Linked DNA regions of Elephas maximus indicus. The protein of the gene in region 2 interacts with the protein of the main gene of each other region in a pairwise test. Links are inferred from orthologs where the notes say so. Each region holds a gene or a part of one and is shown on either strand. Other genes may lie near its edges.

Region 1 (11,373 bases), on a different chromosome or scaffold from region 2:
TGTCACGTATAACTTTTAAAATCAATACCCACAGCACAGCTTAAAAACAGACCAAATAAAAGGATCAACAAAACCTAAAATGCTTTAACAGTGGGGCGTTATTAAACAGGTCATTCCAACAAAACATGGAAATCATGCTACATGGTTAAATTTAACTCCTCAACAAAAACATTAGTCTTTGTCAGAAGCCTCTGTATCCTGGATACCTTTTTCTCTTTTCTAGAGCTACTTTTAAGGGCCCTGAGTCTCCAGAATTTTCCTAAACATTTAACTCCAGTCACTTCAAATGTATGTTCCTTCTATTTCCCAGCTATCATCCTGCTGTTCTCCTACTAAGAAAATTCCAGGTTACTTTTCAGACAGACCAGTGAAGACATGTGATTTTCCCTTTTAGTAAACAATTCTTTAGGTTTTGCTGCAACAGTACGACTCTAAATTCTAAGCACAAGTGCTTTAAATCTAACTTTTCTAATACAGGCTCAACTCTTTAAATTAGCCATTTAAATTTCCCCACCAAAGACAAATGTCCATCAGATGTATTAACTATCATACTGGAAGTGAATTCACAATAAAACAGGCAATTTTTACTCATGTACCATGGAAAAAGGTTCTGTAATCTTTCAAAGCAAAATACACCAATAAATACATCAATTGAGGGGATCGAGATGAAACTGTGTATAAATCTGAGTACCTGGGGCTAGAGAGAGCGTAATCCCCTCGGAGAATATATAAGGTGGCACAATTTTGTATTCTTAAGTTCAGTGTTTTCGTTTTTCCTAGAACTGTGAGTCTGTACAGTGGTAGGCTGTGAAATCAGTTCGGTGGAAACTGACCTGCGTTTAGAAAATGAAATACTAGATTGCAGATGAGAAAATATCAGAGTGCTTTGCGCATGTAGTTGTTTACTGAAACTTTCTTCAATCTGTGTACAGGGTCAGTGCAAAATGTATTTCTTACTGAGGGTCTAAGTCAAAAAAGTTTGAGACATTGATCCAAAAGAATCCCAGGAAAGGAAAGAGAGCTAAATCAGATGAAAATGCAAGAAGCCTCTGAAGCAAAATCTACCTTCTTCAAAAACATATTTGTAATTATTTTGGGAAGCCAATACAAGATGCAGTCAATATGTTTGTATTGAAAGCAATAGTGAAAACTTAAGCCACTCCCTAAACACTTCATCTGCTCCCTTCTTTAATTTTGAGTGGGTAAAATAAAATATTTTGAAGAGATAATCAACTCCAGCATCTCTCATTTTAGAACAACAGTTTTCAACACTGGTGGAGATTTTGCCCCCTCCCCATCACATCTGGCAAGGTCTGGAGAAATTTTGGTGGTCAGAACTGGGGGTGGGGAGGAGCATAGGTGACTTGCTACTGGCATCTAGTGGATAGAAGCCAAAGATGCTGCTGAACATTCTACAATACACAGGTCGGAAAAAAAACACACAACAACAAACCTGTTGGCATTGAGTCATTATGACCCAATAGGACAGACTAGAATTGCCCACACGGTTTCCAAGGCTGTAACCTTTGAAGAAACAGACTGCCATGAAGCGGCTGGTGGGTTTGAACCGCCAACCTCTTGGTTGGCAGCTGAGCTCGTAACCACTGCGTTACCAGGGCACGCGCAGGACAGCCCCCCCACAATAAAGAATCATCCAGATCAAAATGTCAATAGTGCTAAGGTTGAGAAACCCTGTTTTAGGTCAAGATTGTACTCTTTCTAAACCTAAATAAATTGGGGACAAACACCCTAAACTCAGCTCACTTCAGTTCTTACAAGCTAAGCAACTGCATCGTACCATATCTACAGATAGAATTATAACTTTGTTGTTTTGCAAGTGCCAGAGAATGTGAAATCTCTGTTCATTATGAGTTCAAGGAAAATAATTTTTCATTTTGGGGGAGCAGTAAGTAGGAAAAGTATCTAAAGTGTACCTCATATGCAGTCAAGTTTATCACCATACACTACCTAGTATTTTTCTCTCGACTTAAATAAATCAGTGAATAATAAAGCAGTAAAGAGTCTGATACAGCCAATATGTAATGAAAATTTATATATTTTTCCAAAACATCCTGGAATAAACATTGCTTCATAGATGGGTCCTGTTTAAAAAAAAAAAAAAAAACTAGAAGAAAATATAATGAATAGGCAATGAGGTATCCAGGTGATGTATGGGTCTTCCTGTCCCCAACACCTAAATATAACCCTCCTTAAGCAGCTTCCTTCTTCTCCATATTCAGACATCGTCAAAGGAATAACAAAGAGAGACTAAAAATCTTTAAAAGTGTGGGAAGAAAAAAAAGGATATAGGGACAAAAATTCCTCAGAGACTAAGATATAGGCATTAACCAAACCCCTTGCTGTCAAGTCGATTCTGACTCATAACAATCCTGTGATCCTATTAAAAAAAAAAAAAAAAAACTAGTGTGATCCTATAGAACAGAGTAAAACCACCCCATAGAGTTTCCAAGGAGTGCCTAGTGGATTTGAACTGCTGACTTTTTGGTTAGCAGCTGTAGCTTCTAACCACTACGCCAGCAGGGTTTCCAAAATATAGGCATCGGAGACATAGAAAAAGCTTGTAAAGTGCTTAGCACATACTAAGTCCTCAAAAAAAGTTACCTATTATTTTCACACCAAGAATCACTTCAGATAAAGGTCTGCCTTGAGCATTATGCCCTGTTAAGAATCACCTATATGGGATCAAAGTGACAACAGCAACTTAAAAGATTAGATAAAAACCTTAGGATGCAGTGAATTTATGTTGAGAGAGGAACAACTCAAAGAAGGGGCGTGAGAACAAGTTGCACAACTAGAGGAATGTAACCGATGTCACTAAATTGTACATGCAGAAACTGTGGAATCGGGGTATGTTTTGCTATACATATTCACAACAATAAAATATATTAAAAAAAACTAAAATCAGAGCGCTTACCTCTAAAAACAAAAAGACTCACCTTAGTTCTTAAAGGAAAAACAAGACTCTTTAGAGGTGTAAGAAGGAAAGAAGTGGTGAGAAGTACCTGAATTACAATTGGAAACACAAAAAGAGCTACCTTTATTTTTCATTTAATCTTAATCACAATTATCCCTCCAAAGATTTAAATATTACAATTAAGATCTAAGTGCCCACTGACCAACCCAACCCACCTCCATCCCACTATATCCCTGGAAGTAACACTTTGCTGTGTACCTTTCCACAACTTTTTCTGTGTATTTACAGACAAATCTATTTGTCCATAGAAACGTGCATAATTTAGATTTTCCTCTGATGCCTGTCCAGGACAGCGTACAGAAGTTTCCCGTTCGTTTTAACAGTCATCTAAAGAAGCTAGTTGCCCAAATCAAAATTTCTCTCCTGCTTCCCACAAAACCTAGTGTGATGGATGGTGGGATGTACCGATGTGGGAAAAAATGCCAAATTCAAGGCTTTCCTACCAGGGAGGTGTATGGGATGGAGGCTCAAGGCGCCGTTACAGAAGTCATTGTGGATAAAATATCCACTCCCACACACCGTCACAGGCTTTGAATTCCCCTCCTTACAACCCCAAATGTAAGACTCCTTCTCTTGGAGCGCTGATTGGACGATTTGCCTACTGGCTTCAGATTTGGTCCATCCATTTACCGCCCGACTCCCGCATTCCCAACTGGGGTCCGATCCCCGCTTCTCGGATGGAGCCCAACCTATCGCGCGCTTCGTGCTCATTGGTTCAGTAAGCCGCTACTCAGGAGGGGAAAACCCGCCCCCCACATTCCGAAGGCCCAAGGACCTATCAGTCGGTGGCTGAAGGCAGACCCAATTGGCCTATAACCTCGCCAGTCACACGCTTGGGTTGTACAGCTCCGACGAAGCCACATAGATTAAAACATCCCGCCCCCTACTCTTCTATTGGTTGGGCCAAATCGCCGCTCCCCCTCCGCTATCCCCCACCTCGCGGTCCATTCATTTCACACAATAACGGGCCCAGCTGAAATCCATTTAAGACCTCGTACGGGTAGGCAAGATTGTCTGGCACTTACCAGCGATCGAGAGTGATCACTCAGGCTAACGTCTTTCCTGTTCCTCTGTGGCGAGGCCGGACCACAAGCCACCGCTGCCGCCGCCTTCTGCGCAACGCCAGCCGCCCGCCAAAACGGATCTTTCCCTGCGCCTGCGCGACCAATCCTGAGACCGGACCCTTTCTCCGCCCATTACGCCTGCGCATCTCCCGCCAGTACGCAGGCGCCGTAGGTTCACCGCCTCTCCCACCGCCATTTCACATGTTCCAAGTGGCAGCTGGAACTTCTTAGTGCGCCTGCGTAAACTCACCGTATTTTTTTTTTTTTTTAACATGCGCTGTGTAGGTAGTCTTCACCCCTCCCACCCGAAAGATTTTGTAACAGTCTAAATTCTTATCTAACGCACAAAAGTAAGCGTGCTTTGAAAAGGAATTGAATGTAATATTTGAAGAGTGGAGCGTCCAAAAGTTTAAATACGCTTAAGTACCTTCAAATATGAATGATAGGTCCGCTAGCCAATCAGACTAGTTAAGACATCACGACTCAGTAACCAATGAACTACAAGGGGTGGACACTGCGTAGACCGCCCAAACGGATGACGTTTCATAGCAGTGCGGCACCATAGACCAATAGTAGGAGGAAGCTATTTCAAATGTCCAATCAGAACTAAGAAGGGGCGGTGTCTACCAATGCCGACAGCGAGGAGGCGGGATAAAAAAGAGAGGCCGTAGGTAGGCTGGCAGATACGTGCGGTAGGTTACTCCTTTCTGCTTGTGGACGCCGCCGAGGGAACATCGTTAAGTAACCTCTTCTTACTACCGTCATGTCTAAGTCAGAGGTAAGCTACCCTTATCAACTTCATTTTGTTCCTCTTCCCTTCGTGAGTTCCGTAGATTTCGGCTTCGTTTCATCGCTCGAATTAGCCCATGCGGCAGTTCCTTCGGCCGCTGCCAGGGCTTACCCCTCCCAAAGTTGGAGTCGCCATTTTGTCCTCGTCGTCGCCATGAGGCCGCCATCCGGCAACCATTCGTTATCAGGCCAGGCTCTGGTTAAGTCCGGCAGAACTCTACGTCACGATTGATCTGTTTTTTCCCTTGATTGCATGGGCAAGTTTGTTTGTTTGTTTGTTTTTTTAAAGTTTCTAGTATTAGGTTGGCGACATACTCCTCCCGCCAAGTCCTATTGTTGCGCGTGCGTTTTAAAGCGCGTAGGGGCGCATGCGCTTGAGCTTGAGCTCTCGCGGATATTGCAGACTCAACACAGCGCCACCCCTGATAGGGAGAAGCACGTGGCTTGGAGCAGCCAGAAGGAACAATAAATGCTATGTACGTTGTTGCCTAGTTTTATGTGTCTGAACGGGAAACTGAGTATCGTTTTATAGCCTAACTTAACACCTGTTTTCCACCATTAGTCTCCTAAGGAGCCCGAACAGCTGCGGAAACTCTTCATCGGAGGTTTGAGCTTTGAAACAACGGATGAGAGTTTGAGGAGCCATTTTGAGCAATGGGGGACGCTCACGGACTGTGTGGTAAGACAAAAGGGTAGTAGTAAGACCGCCTTGGCTTGTTATTTCCGTAGTTCGTGTTTGAATGTAAAGATTGTTGATAGGATTGTAGTTTGGAAGGTATGATTTTGTTAATGGTTTGATTCTTCAGGTGTTCTTATAGGGTCTCGACTCCCCACAAGCAGTACTGAGAACTTAGAGGGCTTTGTAGTTACCCTACTATAAAGTTTTCCGTTTTCTTGCTTAACGTAGGAGTGATGATAGCTTCTGGGATCTTAGCATGTGCTAAGTGAATTAAATTTTTCAGGTAATGAGAGATCCAAACACCAAGCGCTCCAGAGGCTTTGGGTTTGTTACTTATTCTACTGTGGAGGAGGTGGATGCAGCCATGAATGCAAGGCCACACAAAGTAGACGGAAGAGTTGTGGAACCAAAGAGGGCTGTCTCACGAGAAGTAAGTTTTCTCTTTTAGCTATTTGGAAATGTGCCACTAAGTGGGTTTTAGTTTTTAATTTCATGTTCTCAATTTGGGGGTAGCTTTTGCTAAATAATTAAGTGGTGTTTTTCCTATTAAGGACTCTCAAAGACCAGGTGCCCACTTAACTGTGAAAAAGATCTTTGTTGGTGGCATTAAAGAAGACACTGAAGAACATCATCTAAGAGATTATTTTGAGCAGTATGGGAAAATTGAAGTGATTGAAATCATGACGGACCGAGGCAGTGGCAAGAAGAGGGGCTTTGCTTTTGTTACTTTCGATGACCATGACTCCGTAGATAAGATTGTCAGTAAGTATTAGATGACTGGAGCTTACTAAGGATTCTAAAATTCACCTGGTATTTGGAACCTTAAGGTTTTGTTTTCATTTTTTAGTTCAGAAATACCATACTGTGAATGGACACAACTGTGAAGTAAGGAAAGCCCTGTCAAAGCAAGAGATGGCCAGTGCTTCATCCAGCCAAAGAGGTGTGTTTGTTGCTCAGTTAAACCTTAAGGGTAATAGTGAGTAATCCAGTTTGTATGGTCTGACATGATTAATTTCTTAAGGTCGAAGTGGTTCTGGAAACTTTGGTGGCGGCCGTGGAGGTGGTTTTGGTGGGAATGACAACTTTGGTCGTGGAGGAAACTTCAGTGGGCGTGGTATGTGTGATTGTAGTTTCCAGTAAACTTGTAGTTTAGTTACCCCAGGTTAACACCCATTTTGCAATCTATGATAATATGTAACTAAAGAGCTACTGCTATCAAGTTCAGTACTATTCTTCTAACGCCTATGGGTCAGTAGAGATGCCCCGTGGGGTTTCCGAGACTAAATGTTTCACAAAAGCAGGCTGGTGGATTCCAACTGCTGCTGCAAAGTGCTTAACCACTAGACCCGTTTTATTTTTAAAAGTTCTTCTGGGTAATGAGTGAAATCACTGATTGGCGATTTGTTTTACAAAACAAAGGCTGCCGTTTAAAATTTAACTTTTTTCAGGTGGCTTTGGTGGCAGCCGTGGTGGTGGTGGATATGGAGGCAGTGGGGACGGTTATAACGGATTTGGTAATGACGGTGAGTATGGTTTTTTGGTTCATTTGTGGGTTTTTTATATGTATAAGGAACATGCAGGCAGTCTTCCGTTATCCTTAGAGTAGATTAGTAGAGACTAAAATTAGTGCATGGGAAGCTCAATTCTCACCATAATATGCATGCTGTGAGCAGGCTTTAGCCATTGCGCTTGCACAGATACTGATCATTGAATACTTTTGTCTTATTGAGAAGAATTGTATTCTTGTAGGTGGTTATGGAGGAGGAGGCGGTCCTGGTTACTCTGGAGGAAGCAGAGGCTATGGAAGTGGTGGACAGGGTTATGGAAACCAGGGCAGTGGCTATGGCGGGAGTGGCAGCTATAACAACGGAGGAGGCGGAGGCGGCTTTGGCGGTGGTAGTGGTAGGTATCCAGTGATCCAAGTCTTTGGTGTGATAGCTTAGACTAGCCTTAGTTTGCCCATTATTTTGGGGCTTGATGCTCTTAGAAGCATTATGTGTTACAGTGCATGGTATTCAAAAGTAAATGGACTTGCTGTGCTACCTCCTAGCTTCAAGCTGGGGCCGCCTCACTCCCAAAAAGATGAGTAAGTGGATAGTGGTGTCTTCATTTGGGGTTAGATTAGCCTCCGTTGCAGGATTTAGCATCTTAACTATTCTGTTGGGATCTTAGGCACTTAGTTGATATATCCAAGAAACTTGTCTGCAGTGGTCCTAGGTGAAAAGAAAAAAAAAAGAAAGCCTTCAAGGCTAGAAACAAAGTTCTTAAAATTTGTGCTTTAAAACTTTTGACACTCAATCTTACGGCGATTTGGGTTGATAATCAAGCTGCTGGATTGTTCGACATAATGCTTTGCCTAGACAAGATGGAAATGGAAGAATTACCAATTACTGGAGCCACCTTTTGGGTGGAGCCACCCTTTGGGAGGAAGGCAAGCAAATGTCAAAACAGCCTTTTTCACTTGTAAACACTAACAGAACTGGGAACTGTGATCTTCCTCCAAGTAACAGACAAAGGCCCTCTTTCCCTTCCTAGGAAGCAATTTTGGAGGTGGCGGAAGCTACAATGATTTTGGCAGTTACAACAATCAGTCTTCAAATTTTGGACCCATGAAGGGTGGAAACTTTGGAGGCAGAAGCTCTGGCCCTTATGGTGGTGGAGGTCAATACTTTGCCAAACCACGAAACCAAGGTATTGTGTATGTGTAATATTGGCTAATTGTAGCTATAGTTAGTACACTGGTAAAGGGAGCACTTCCCTTGCAAAGTTAGGCAAGGGCCATTTTTAAATGTTCTCTTGAACTTGTGATTTACCGTATGTATCATTGTCTCAAATGAGAGAAAATTAGAGCTTAAATTTCATTTTTAGGTGGCTATGGCGGTTCAAGCAGCAGCAGTAGCTATGGCAGTGGCAGGAGGTTTTAATGACTGCCAGGTAAGTAAGCACCTTTTCGTGTTTTGACTTAATTTTTTTTATAATTGCAAATGAACCCAGTAACCCTAATGTAGCTGAGCATTGCAACATAGTTAATATAATTGCAGTAAAATTGTGGATGGATATTAAGTTAATATTCAGAATAGCAAAATTTGTGGGAAACAACTTGCTATTGGATTGTAGTCTTGAGTCTTAATATGTTTAGATTAACAACTTTATTCCATATTGTTCAACAGGAAACAAAGCTTAGCAGGAGAGGAGAGCCAGAGAAGTGACAGGGAAGCTACAGGTTACAACAGATTTGTGAACTCAGCCAAGCACAGTGGTGGCAGGGCCTAGCTGCTACAAAGAAGACATGTTTTAGACAATACTCATGTGTATGGGCAAAAAACTCGAGGACTGTATTTGTGACTAATTGTATAACAGGTTATTTTAGTTTCTGTTCTGTGGAAAGTGTAAAGCATTCCAACAAAGGGTTTTAATGTAGATTTTTTTTTTTTCACCCATGCTGTTGATTGCTAAATGTAATAGTCTGATCATGACGCTGAATAAATGTGTCTTTTTTTAAGTGTGCTGTGTAAAGTTAGTCTACTCTGAAGCCATCTTGATAAACTGGCCCGACAGTGTGAAGTTTAGAATTCCTTCAGGGTGATGCCAGGTTCCATTCAATATTTATTTACAACCTTAGAAGACTGCTTGGGGGCAGAGCGAAGCCATTGTCTTCAGAAACCTTGGTGTAGTTGAACTGACGGTTATTGAGTTGTGACCTGGAGTTCACCATTACAGTGGTCACCCAAGCAAAATTATGGGATTTATTTGGTTATAAAAATGATTGTTGGCACATCCTATGCAATATATCTAAATTGAATAACGGTACCAGACAAAACTAGATGGGATTGAAACTTATGTATCCATTATCGTGTGTAATCAATAAACGATTTAATATCTTGAATGATATGACAACTGTATGGATTTGGGACTGGCAGAGATTTGGACGTACCCTACCCACTATCCCTGAGCAATGTTGAATGCCCTTCCAAATTCTCGTTCAAAACTCTGCCAGAGAATAGAGACCAGCTGGCTAATGGCTACCCCTTAAGTCCACAGATTAGAAGCATTGGGAGAGACCTTTTTAGAATAAGACCAGTACCAAATTTTATTCTCAACATTAAGAAATAGGTTTACATTAAAGGAAAACTGCAGTTTTTTTTTTACTGGGTTGTGGTTGGGTGAATCTTTGTATAGATTAAGCACAGTTCGCTGGAAGTTTAAAAAATTAGTAACGGTAAAGAACATAGTTGTTAGCCATATAAATTTGTCTTAACTGCAGTTTTCCTTTAAATATGGCACAGGAGCACACAACCATCTTGAAGTGTTAATTGTATAGAAAATGATTCTTAAATCTTCGATTGGTTACTTAATATCCGATAATTGTTATTTGTACGTAGGTTCTTCTGAACCTTCATTTTGGTGCCCTCTCAATTTCAGTGCCATTGTACCTAGTAGTAATAGAGCTTGTCAATCAATAGGACTGTGTATTTCATCCCATGGGTGTGTTGCTTAAAGTTTGGGGAGGAGGGTGGAGGGGGGGTGGGAGGTGGTGGATGGGGGGGAAGCATGGATGATAGTTCCGTGGGTTTGGTATTGGCTGAGTTTGCAATAGCAGGTGAAACCTTAACTGTTGAGGGAGTTTGCAGATACCTCAGGACTCCTGACAATGCCTTTAAAGATCCAGGAGAGATGTTCAGCTACTAGGAACTGCTAGCAAGTAATAGCGCGAATGGCTCCGAGCTCAGACACTCTACAGCTGAGAGTAGACACTTGTGGTATGTGAAGTACAGATAAGCCAGGGGCAGGCACGGCTCGCTCCATGAAAGCTAGGAGGGAGTGAAGTTTCAGTGACCATCGCAAGGAAGGAGGCAGACAAGAGTAAGGCACACACCTGACTCTTAGGACTAGCAGTCAGAACCAGAAGGAAAGGTTTTATTGCTATGCTGGTAGGTAAGAACAGATTTTACTTACATCCATATAGTTATCTAAAATCCAATTTTCTGTTAAATGCTTCTTACTATATTGAGCCAAAAAAAAAACTAGTCCGGTTAAGCTGAACTTGGTTTTTCTGGAGATGAACTGTAAATCAATGCCCTAGTCTTGCTGGCTCTCAATTGAAAGAAGTGAGCACTTAAATTATTTCTACTGTAATTAAATTACTTACACTGTGATATATTTTTACCCTTTAATTTTGATTTTTACTTTCCTTTTACCTCTTAAAATAACGGCTCAAAGTAATGCATTACGATCTTTTCCCCAAAATGATTATGGGAGGGTGGGTGGGCCATTAATGGGAGGGGGAGGATTTAGCTTGAGATGGGATTTGGTCCAGAAAAAAAGCTAGTTCTAAAGGTTGTCTACTTTTCTAGGGAAGAATCTGCTACTGCAGGCTTTCGGCTCTATTAAAAAAAAAAAAAAAAGCAAAAAATAAAACCCCAGTAATCTCTTCTGTCCAAGCTAAAAGGTAAGTTTTGTTTTTTTTTTTTAATCTCAGTACTTCCATAGTGTGAAGTAAGAATGGCAAACTGCCTTTCAGAACCAAGAATGCTTTCATAATCTGGTCGTATAGTAAAACTATATTTCCAGGAAAGAGAATGGAGTTGTGGAATTCCTTAGCTCTGCTTATGTAAGTGCTTAATGACATTTTCTCCTTTTGCAGGAACATCCTTGTGAGGACAGCCTTTATCTGAGCTACTGTGCCCTTCATTCTCACTGCCATGCAGTTCATGTTAGCTGCTATGCAGTTGAAGTCATTCAGTTTTGTGAATGGATTTTTAATAAATTGCCTTCAATTTTGTTCCATGTCTGTTTCTCTTTTTTCTGTTTATGGCAAATGAGATGCTGCACATTATTTCCCATTT
Region 2 (10,428 bases):
AGTGATAGAGTTGGGAGGTTGGAGGGAAGAGGTGGGCTTGGAGCATTGAAGGGGATTCGAGTGTATGGAAGGAGAAATAAAGAAGAGGCAGGGAGGAATGCCCCTTTGGCAGGCCCTGAGCCTTCTGTGCTGTGCCCCTGCTTGCTGCAGACTCCAGGGGCCCCAGAGAGCTCAGCACTGCAGCCACCACCACAGAGCTCAGAGGGGCTGGTGGGGGCCCTGATGCACGTGATGCAGAAGAGAAGCAGAGCTATCCATTCCTCAGGTGAGAGCCCAGCCCTCCCCAGCCTGTGGCTCTCCTCCACAGGCCTGTCCTGGGCCCATCCTGCCAGGACCAAGCACCTGCTTTTCAGGGCTAGGAATGGCATAAAAGCAACCCCAACAGTCACCATCAGTATTAACATTAGCCCCAGGTGTTGATGACAGTATTAGCAGAAATCTTGTTACTTGACAATGTTAACACAAACTTATGTGACAATATAATTAACTCTGTCTTTGACAATAATATTAACATTAATGCCAAGGTGTGTCCACAATATTAACTTTAACCCCATAATATGTCAACAAGATTAAGGTTAACTCATTATGTGATGTTGATAATAATGTAACTAACCCAACCTTTTTACAAAGTGTTAATATTAACTCCCTAAAAAAAAATGAGTCAACAATACTAACATTAACCCACTATGAGACAATAATATTATAACTTACCTCACCTTTAACAATAATTTTCAAATTCACCCATTAAGTAGCATACTGATTAACATTAACCCTTTGGGTGACAGTATCAAAACTAACCACATTTTTGACAATAATATTAATTTTAACTCCAACTGGAACCCAGACCCCAACTGTAACCCCTATCTTGTCCCAAACTGAAACTCCTACTCTCACACCTCTGAAGAGGCCCCTCCTCATCTAGCCGCATAGGTCCCACATCTGATTTCCTAACAGGAGACCTCATTCCCCAGCACCATGAGTCCTGGCCTTTCAAGCCCTAGGAACTACCCTTCCAGAGGCTCCATCCTGAGTTCCCACTCCATGTCCTTCTCTTTCTCTCCCTCCAGATGAAGGGGAGGACCAGGCCGGTGATGAGGATGAGGATGATGAATGGGACGATTGAGCTGCTGTCCCCAGTGTACCTCCCCATAGTCCACCTGTGGCTCCCTGCTTCCCACTGGCAGCACCCTACTGTCTGCATCCAGGCGCTAAGCGCTGTTTCTTCCCAATCAACCCCCTACCCAGTGCTGTTATCCCTGACAGGCCCCCACACTCACCCTAGCAATAGCCAGGCCCCTTTTTGTATGAAATTTCTCAATCCTCCTCACTCATTTTTGAAACAAAGATAAAGTAATTGTCTTTTTGTCTCTCTAAATCTGAGTTTGCTTATATTCCAAATGTGGTCCCTGTTATTTATCTAGCTTTACATATATGCCTTCATTTATTCACTTAGTCATTTAGCCTGGTTTTTTGTTTCCTTCTGTCCTTCTTTCTTTCCACAAACATTTATTGCCACTGACTCCTCCCCTTTCCTCCGCGACATCCTCCTCCAAAAAAGGAGTAACTCAAACCTGTCCCTGTGTTTGAAGCTCTTCCCAGGGGAGTAATTAGAAACTCTTGCACATTAAAGCCTAAAATCAAAGAATTTAACCCTTTGCATTTCTGAAATCTGGTAGATTTAACATCTCAGGTATCCTACCTTTAGAGAAGGAGGAGGAGAGGGGCAGGAAGATAAAGGTGAGGGAGAATCCAGGTTTCCAAGAGCAGCAGAAGAATTTCTGAACCATTGAGGTGGAGGTAGAGGGAGAGGGAGGAAACCAGCTAGACATTGGGGGCATTGGGGATAAGATATCAGGAGTGGGAGCTGGCTTTGCCCCTTAAAAATTCTCCCAGAACCATGTAAGGGGAAATTCCCCTTGAGGAGGAGGAGGGGGCGTGTCTCAGGTTTCTTTTAATTTTTGAAATATTTCATTATTCCACTCCCACCCTAACCAGCCAGGCTCCCAGCATGAGCACTGAGTCTAGAAAGGACCTGTCAGGTATCAATTACCCCCTCCCCACCCCTGCAGAAAGCCTAGAAATCCAGTGCTCCAAGACATCTCCCTTCTGCTGGGTGCTAGGGCCGTTTCTCCACCTTTGGATAGGAAGGCATCACCCAACCTCTGAATCCCCTTGAGCATGGGCTAGAGAAGGCAGAGACTCGAGGTGAAAGAATTGACCGTGGGTGAGTTACTTGACCTCTTTGGGCCCCAGTTTCCTCAGTCTTTAAAATAGAAATAAAAATGCTTACCTCATAGGGCTGTATTGAGAATTAAAGTAGATGGTGTCTGCAAACTGTCTGGATCATTGTAGGCATTTATAAACATTAGCTGCCACTATTGTTGCTGTGGTTGTTATTGTTATTACTGAATTTCACTGACTCTGACTCACCATTGATTTATAAAATTATAAAATACACCATTATTTTATGGATCACTAAGAAAAGCAAAAAAAAAAAAAAAAAAAAAAAACCTACCAATTAAATTATGACCCAACAGTGCTTGTAAGACACAGGCTGATTTCAGAGATGTTAAAAAATTAAACAGTTCTGGAGGCCTGGCTGGTTATGTTGTTTCTTGACCTGCCTTCTGGTTCTACATGCGTATTCACTTGTAAAAACTCTTCATGACATTCTCCCATGGTCTATGTACTCTTCTGTATGTGTGTTACACTTCACCATGAGGTTTACATTAAAAACAGGTTCAACCTGTGCAGCTTAAAATGGATAAAACCTTATGCCCTCAGCACTAAGAGAGGCAATATACACAAGAGGCACTGGATTAATGCTGAACAAACAGACAAATGGCTTTAGGCAGGACACAGGAGTACTAGGATGACCTCTTACTTTTGAGGTCTCCTGAAAAGGTGCTAGTCCCAAAGGGTTAACTAGTCCATAGGGTTAACTTGTATAAGGTCACACAATTTAGTAAGTGGTGGAGCCAGGATTTGAACCCAGGCAGTCTGGCTCCAGAATCCATGCCTTTACCCGATACATTATATTGTTTGGAGAGGCCCAAAGGAAGCTCTTCATCACTAGCAGACCCCTATAGCTCCCCTCCAGATTCAGGTGGAAAAAGGTCATGCCTTAAACCACTCTTGTGGGTTGGGCAGGTCTCCAAGGCCTCTGGAAGTGGGATGGCCCAGGCCACCCAAGGAGACTGGGGCACGTGAGGACCAGCATGTGACTCTGTTCTAGAAAGAATAAAGGAGGGAAGGGGCATGCCTGGTGGGATTACGCTTTTGACTGTTACACTTATGGTAAGGAGGGGCTGATAGAACGTCAGACTGACCAGCCATTCCTCCAATCAGCTCACAGCTGGACTAGCAGGAAGACAGAATAACTGGCTAACTGTATAACCATTTGGTTAACTGTGCAACTCATGGACCAACAGGGAGAGGGGCAATTTGAGGAACTGACAATGTGGTTTCCTGATGCTGTGAAGTACTGAACATCTGACTGACTTACAGCCCGCCTGGGCCTGGCTGGGGCTGGTGGCCTGACAGTGTGGAGGACAAGGAGCCTCCTGAAAGAGTTACAGGCTGACCAACTGACTGATGGTGTTGCTGCCGGACTGGGAGGCAGGATGTTACAGGGCTGAGGGAATGTCTAAATGTTATAGTCTGATGATGCGTAAAGAAGGGCTACGCTGAATTTCAGGTTGACTGATCAACAAATCTGTGGTTGCCTGATGTTGTTGTTATTGTTAGTTGCCATTGAGTTGGCTCCAAGTCATGACAACCTTAAGTATAACAGAATGAAACATTGCCTGGTCCTGTGCCATCTTCATGATCATTGGTGTGTTTGAGCCTATTGTTGTGGCTATGTGTCAGTCCATTTCATTAAAGGTTTCCTTCATTTTCACTGACCCTCTATTTTCAACCATGATGTCCTTTTCTAGTGACTGCTTTTTGGGATGACATGTCCAAAGTAAGTGAGTCGGAGTCTCATCCTGGTTGTATTTCTTCTAAGACTGATTTGTTTGTTCTTCTGGCAGTATACAGTGTATTTGATATTCCTTGCCAACATCACAGTTCGAATGCATCAATTCTTCTTCTGTCTACCTTTTAATTGTCCAGCCTTTCCATGCATATGAGATTGAAAAGACCATGGCCTGGGTCAAGCACACCTTAGTTGTCAAAGTGATATCTTTGCTTCTTAAAACTTTATGGAGGTCTTTTGGCTGATGGGAGCCCTGGTGGTGCAGTGGTTAAGAGCTCGGCTGCTAACCAAAAGTTCAGCAGTTTGAATCCACCAGCTAGCTGTTCCTTGGAAACCCTGTGGGGCAGTTCTACTCTGTCCTATTGGCTCCCTATGAGTCAGAATCAACTTGATGGCAATGGGTTTGGTTTGGCTGATAGGCTACTATATATGGTGACTGACTGTTATGGATTGAATTGTGTCCCCCAAAATGTCAATTTAGCTAGGTCATGATTCACATACTGTGTAATTATCCACCATTTCATCATCTGATGTGATTTTCCTATGTGTTGTAAATCCTACCTCTATGATGTTAATGAGGCAGGATTAGAGACAGTTATGTTAATGAGGCAGGATTCATTCTACAAGATTAGGTTCTTTTGAGTCAATCTCTTTTGAGATATAAAAGACAGAAGCGAGTAGAGAGACAGGGGGACCTCATGCCACCAAGAAACAAGAGCCAGGAGAATAGTGTGTCCTTTGGACCCAGGGTTCTTGTGCTGAGAAGCTCCTAGGCCAGGGAAAGATTGATGACAAGGACCTTCCTCCAGAGCCAACAAAGAGAGAAAGCCTTTCCCTGGAGCTGGCATCCTGAATTTGGACTTCTAGCCTACTAGACTGTGAGAGAACAAATATGTCTTTGTTAAACCCATCCACTTGTGGTATCTCTGTTGTCGCAGCACTAGAGAACTAAGACACTGTTCATCTTGAGTGAACCACAGCATGCTTGAGGGCCTGGATGGTTGCTCTGACTGAATGACTCTCTGACAGACAGTGTGGTCAGTTGGATTCTGAGGATGACGAACCGGCTGACTGACAATATGATGAAGGACCAACTGAAGGAATCACAGGCTGCCTGACCATCTGAAAACTTAGCATAACTGCCTCACTTGGTGGCTGTACATGGTTATGGACTGTTTGCCCTGATGGAATCACAGGCTCCCTGATAGAGCCCAATGGGTCACAGGAGATTGACTGACCGGCCAATGGTGTGGATAAGTAGCCTGAGAAATTACAGACTGGCTGACCTATTGACGGGTAGTGTGGAGGCTCTATTGTACCATTAGTCGCTGTGACTATTTGCTCTGAAGGCCTAGCTCGGTGTTAAGACTGATTAACTGGCTGATCATGGTGTGAATGAGTAGCAACCTGAGGGAATTACAGGGTGACAGGGCTATGTTAGATGCTGAAAATGACAGCTTGTCCTGACCTAATCACAGCCTGCCTAAGGGCATGGCCCGATGCTGTGGCTTACTGAGGGGTGTATGAGATGATTCCTCCAGGTCCCAGGGCAAGGGTACGTGGTATGACAGGCTAATTGACTGACAATGTAAAGGAGCGGTCAGGCTGGCTAACAAGGGGAGTTGGTAGTAAGTGCAGTCTGAGTTGAGGGCATTGCAGCTGGCCTGAGGACACAAATGGATGCCGCTACTCCCTGACAGACTGATAGGGTGTAAGGGGGGTGGGGTGTCTGACTAGACAGCTGTGGTGACCTGAACTGGGCGACTGGCTGATTGACAGTGCTAACTGGGGGTCTGACAGGACGGAGAATCCGCCTCTACGACTGTTAACAACGTGATTGGCTAACAGCGTGACAGACAGACCCGCGTACAGGCAGGGCCTCCGGCAGCCCCAGCTACCGGTGCTGCCGCTGCCACCGCCCAGGCGCACTCTGGGAAACCGAAGGCAAGCACCCGCCTTCGGGACCGGTGGGGTGGCGGGGAGGGGTCCGGTCACGCTCGCCGGTTGGTCCGCGCGGGCGCCGCTCGCTGCGCGGCGTGGCCAATAGGCTGTGCGTTCTCGGCCACGCCCGCGCGAGCTCTCTTCTCGCGAGGCCGAGTAGGCCCGAATGTCGTTAGCCGTGGGGAAAGATGGCGGAAAATTTAAAAGGTGAAGCGGTGGCGGCAGCGGCGCAGGCTCGCTGGCAGGGCCGGGGTGGGCTGGAGGGATGGCGCAGCGGGCTCAGGGGCCCGGCATCCGAGGCCACGGAGCCGGCAGCTGGAAGCCTGGCGTGGAAAGGATGGGGCTCGGGGAGCGCGGGCCTGGTGCGCGGGGCTGGGCGGGGCTGTGGGAAGGGGCGCGTGTCTCCGAACGTGGCCGGCGCGGGGTGAAGGGCGGGCGCGGGATGGGGCGGGCGTGGGAGCGCGTGCTCCAGGTCGCGACTGGACCGGCGCGCGTACGCGCAGGGGGTCGTCCGGGAGGCCGCACCCGCGCGCGGGAAAATGGGCCGCCGGTGACCGTTACCCGCCTGGTGCCCACGCGAGATGCCGGAAAGGGAGGAGAGGGAGCCCGACCCTTGGGTATAGATGCTAAGTGATCCACTCAGTGGGGGGACAGGGTACTGTTCAGGGGTAAGCAGGGAAGGAGTTTGGAGTAGAGTGGACTCCCCCAGGATGGGGGGAAGTGGATTCCCCAGTGTGCAGGGAAAGGGTGATTTTCTCAGTATGGAGGGTGGTGGAGTGGGCTCCTCTCTGAGGAAAGCTGCGGGGAGGATGAGAGACCACAAGTGTGGCGGTGGGGGGTGGGGGGACCTCTGAGGGCTAGGAGAGTGTAGCCAGGTCAGTGCCAAGTGCATGCTGGAGCCAGCAGCTGGCGATGTTAGTTGGGACCACTTGAGATGGGGGGTTTTGAATACGAGTTAAGGGGTTTGGAAGGGAGAGGGCATCACAGGGAGGGGAAAGCCTGGGCCTAGGCCCAGAGCCTGGAAGGGAGATACAGAGTTGAAGAGTCTAGGCCTGCCTAAGTGGAGGAGGGAAGTGTACATGAAATAATTTTGAAAAGCTCTTGTATATTTTTAGGTTGACATACTTTATCGTGAGTTTAAATAAACTTGATTTTTGTAATGGGAGGTAGAAAATGTTAAACACTTAAAAACTATAAAATAGGTGTTGTGAAATGATTTGATAAAATGACTTCTAAAACAATGTGGAATCAAATATAAATCTTTATTTTTTTAATCAGTGTGTCCTAAAAATTTTTGGTAGCCCCAGAAAACATTCCAGGCATATTTAAAAGAATCATCACAAACATATACTGCTTTGCCTATTCCTGAATTCAGAACATACCCATTTGGGCCAGCTTTACCCTTCACAGAAATGTGGATGAAGCAGGGAAAGTCAAACCACAATGTGAAAAAAATGCAGTGGGGTTTAAGGTACCAAGACTACTCATTCAAGGAAGTTGCCTGTAATCTACCATTCCACATTTATTAAAAATTCTGAAATCTAAAAAATCCTGAAAACTGAAATCTTTTTCTTAAATTGGGCACCATTCAGTGGCAAAACTAGATTATAAGGTAGAACTATTCAGTGCCACTATTTTACATTTTTATTTCTCCTATTTAATGTGAAAATTCTTACTTTTGCTGTAGATATATTAATGCATTTGATTATGGCATGATACCCTAAGTACTGGGGGTGTTATGGTAGATACATGGAAATACATTTGTAAAAAAAGATTTTTTTTTAAACATATCTGCCCCCCCCCCCCCCCCCCGCCTTTTCAGATAAGACATTGTGGACCAGTCTTTCCAGTTTTGCCTTTGTTTTGTGCCCTGGAGGTTTTAATTCTCGCCCCCACCACCTTCCCCTTAGAGCATCCTACTGAGATGGGGGGGTTGTTCCCTTTCTTTTGTAAAGTGAGGAGAAGGGTGCTCAGATTCCGAACTCTAGGCAGGTTTGCTGGAAGTTTTAACAAATAGTAAGGGAGTTAGAAGCTCTGGGAATTGATTCCTTTAGGACAGACTTTGAGGACCTCTGCTCCAGGGGTAGCCTTGAGCAGTGAGCCTTGGGGTTCAAGGAAATGGCACATTTTGGTTATAGAAGGGTCCCAGCTTTCGGAAAGGCCTGTGGATTAAATCTGACTGAGGCAGTCCTTGGAAAGTCCCAGGGAGGATTTGGGGTCCTTTTGGGTGCCTGGCCAGGCTACCCAGTAATAGTTCTTCCTGCCCCCTTGTTCCAGGCTGCAGCGTGTGTTGCAAGTCTTCTTGGAATCAGCTACAGGACCTGTGCCGCCTGGCCAAGCTCTCCTGCCCTTCCCTCGGTATCTCCAAGAGGAATCTTTATGACTTTGAAGTCGAGTACCTGTGTGACTACAAGAAGATTCGTGTGAGTCTGGGGGTGACCGTGATCCTGGGCCGGGGAGGAGTGTCTCAAGGGAGTAGGCTTCTTGCCCTCCTGCCTCCCACTGCCTGCATTTGTTTTCCAAACGGAATTTTCTCCTTCGATCCTAAAAGATGTCTCATGTCCATTTTACAGGTGGGGAAACTAAGTGGCTTTCTGAGGGGGCAGAAGCCAGAATGAATCCCCAAATAAGTCTTTCTTCCCACCTCCCTAGGAAGACAAACCAATTGCAAAGATTGAGAATACTTCTTAGATGCTGAGCCCAGGAGTGGAGATGATGATAGGTAACAGTTACTGAGTACTTTCAGTGTGCCAGCCACTTCCTAAGAAACTCATTTAACTCCCCTAACTGTGAAGTGGGAACTGTTACTGTTGCTAGAGGAGGTTAGTGAAGGATAGTTAAGACTAGAGCCAGCCTGCTTGGGTTCCAATCCTGGCTGTGTAACCTTGGGCTACTTTCCCAAACTCTCTGTACTTCACTTACCTGATCTGTAAAATGGGGGTGATAATAGAGTGTTGTGAGGAATAAATTAGTTAATAACGCATGGGACCTGTTACCTAATGAATGCTAGTAAGATGTTAGCTATATTCTTATTTACAGATGAGGAAACTGTGGCCCAGCAAAGTTAAATGACTTGCCTAAGGTCACACAGCTAGGGCATGGCAGATCTAGGATTTGTACTCAGGGTATCTAACTCTCAAATCTGTGCTATAGGGGGTGAGAGTGGAAGCCGGGGGACACAGCCCAGGCAAGCAATGATGGTGGTGGCAGTGAGGATGGTTTGAAGTGGTTGGATTCTGGAGGTATTTTGAAGGTTGGGCTGGCAGGATTTGCTGCAGGTGGTTGTGGGGAGTGTGAGAAAGAGAGTCAAGGATGACCAGGAATTTGAGCTCAGCAGGTAGAAGCATGGAGCTGATGTTTACTGAGATGGCAAAGATGGTGTGGAGGGAGTAGGTTTAGGAGATTAGATTAATGGGATTTGGACAGGTAGTAGTTAAGTAGGAGAGTGGAATTTGAACCTAGTAAATCCTCACTCCAAAGCCCATGCTTTCTAATCACTGTATGGATTAGAAAAGGGCGGAGGGGAGTGATGTGGGCAGAGGGGAGTGATGTGGGCATTATCCATATGCTTTGGAGTGGAAGTCCCACAAGGGCTGGCACAAGGGTCTCACCACTTATAGTGCTCTTGTCCCTTTGCCCCCCAACAGGAACAGGAGTATTACCTGGTAAAGTGGCGTGGATACCCAGACTCAGAGAGCACCTGGGAGCCACGACAGAATCTCAAGTGTGTACGCATTCTCAAGCAGTTCCACAAGGACTTAGAAAGGGAGCTGCTCCGGCGACACCACCGGTCAAAGCCACCTCGGCACTTGGACCCAAGCTTGGCCAACTACCTGGTGCAGAAGGCCAAGCAGAGGCGGGCACTGCGGCGGTGGGAGCAGGAGCTCAATGCCAAGCGCAGCCACCTGGGACGCATCACAGTGGAGAATGAGGTGGACCTGGACGGGCCTCCTCGGGCCTTTGTGTACATCAATGAGTACCGTGTTGGTGAGGGCATCACGCTCAACCAGGTGGCTGTGGGCTGCGAGTGCCAGGACTGTTTGTGGGCTCCTGCTGGAGGCTGCTGTCCAGGGGCATCACTGCACAAGTTTGCCTACAACGACCAGGGCCAGGTGCGGCTGCGAGCCGGGCTGCCCATCTACGAGTGCAACTCACGCTGCCGCTGCGGCTATGACTGCCCCAATCGCGTGGTACAGAAGGGCATTCGCTACGACCTCTGCATCTTCCGCACAGCTGATGGCCGTGGCTGGGGCGTCCGCACACTGGAGAAGATCCGCAAGAACAGCTTTGTCATGGAGTACGTGGGAGAGGTATGGAGATGGGGCGGTACGTGTGTATGCGGCTTCTCCCCCTGTGTGTTTCCAGTGTGTGTGCCCACACAGTGTGTGCCTTTAATTAGTCCTGGGGCTTTTAATCAAAGTGTAATAGCGACGCCCTGGCAGGGCTAACGTTCCAAGCTGGTACACACCAGTATAGCCATTGAAATACATCCAAGCTGGGTTGATTTC

Evidence for each region. The genes of interacting proteins can lie anywhere in the genome.
Region 1: the proteins of SUV39H1 (region 2) and CBX5 interact in binary tests that used the Homo sapiens proteins (3 or more experiments, as listed by UniProt). The link is inferred for Elephas maximus indicus from reciprocal best matches to the Homo sapiens genes SUV39H1 and CBX5.

The regions. Positions count from the first base shown.
Region 1 is NC_064822.1:109,773,403-109,784,775, forward strand, and holds the start of CBX5 (chromobox protein homolog 5), read right to left. Parts: upstream 4,157-11,373; 5' UTR 4,021-4,156; intron 1-4,020. Other genes in the region: HNRNPA1 (heterogeneous nuclear ribonucleoprotein A1), read left to right, coding at 4,823-4,837, 5,411-5,527, 5,811-5,957, 6,079-6,289, 6,375-6,467, 6,549-6,641, 6,976-7,050, 7,277-7,429 and 2 more. UniProt on the Homo sapiens protein: Component of heterochromatin that recognizes and binds histone H3 tails methylated at 'Lys-9' (H3K9me), leading to epigenetic repression. In contrast, it is excluded from chromatin when 'Tyr-41' of histone H3 is phosphorylated (H3Y41ph).
Region 2 is NC_064846.1:122,903,997-122,914,424, forward strand, and holds the start of SUV39H1 (histone-lysine N-methyltransferase SUV39H1), read left to right. Parts: upstream 1-6,199; 5' UTR 6,200-6,257; coding exon 6,258-6,282; intron 6,283-8,197; coding exon 8,198-8,343; intron 8,344-9,567; coding exon 9,568-10,230; intron 10,231-10,428. Other genes in the region: actin nucleation-promoting factor WAS, read left to right, coding at 151-265, 1,068-1,123. UniProt on the Homo sapiens protein: Histone methyltransferase that specifically trimethylates 'Lys-9' of histone H3 using monomethylated H3 'Lys-9' as substrate. Also weakly methylates histone H1 (in vitro).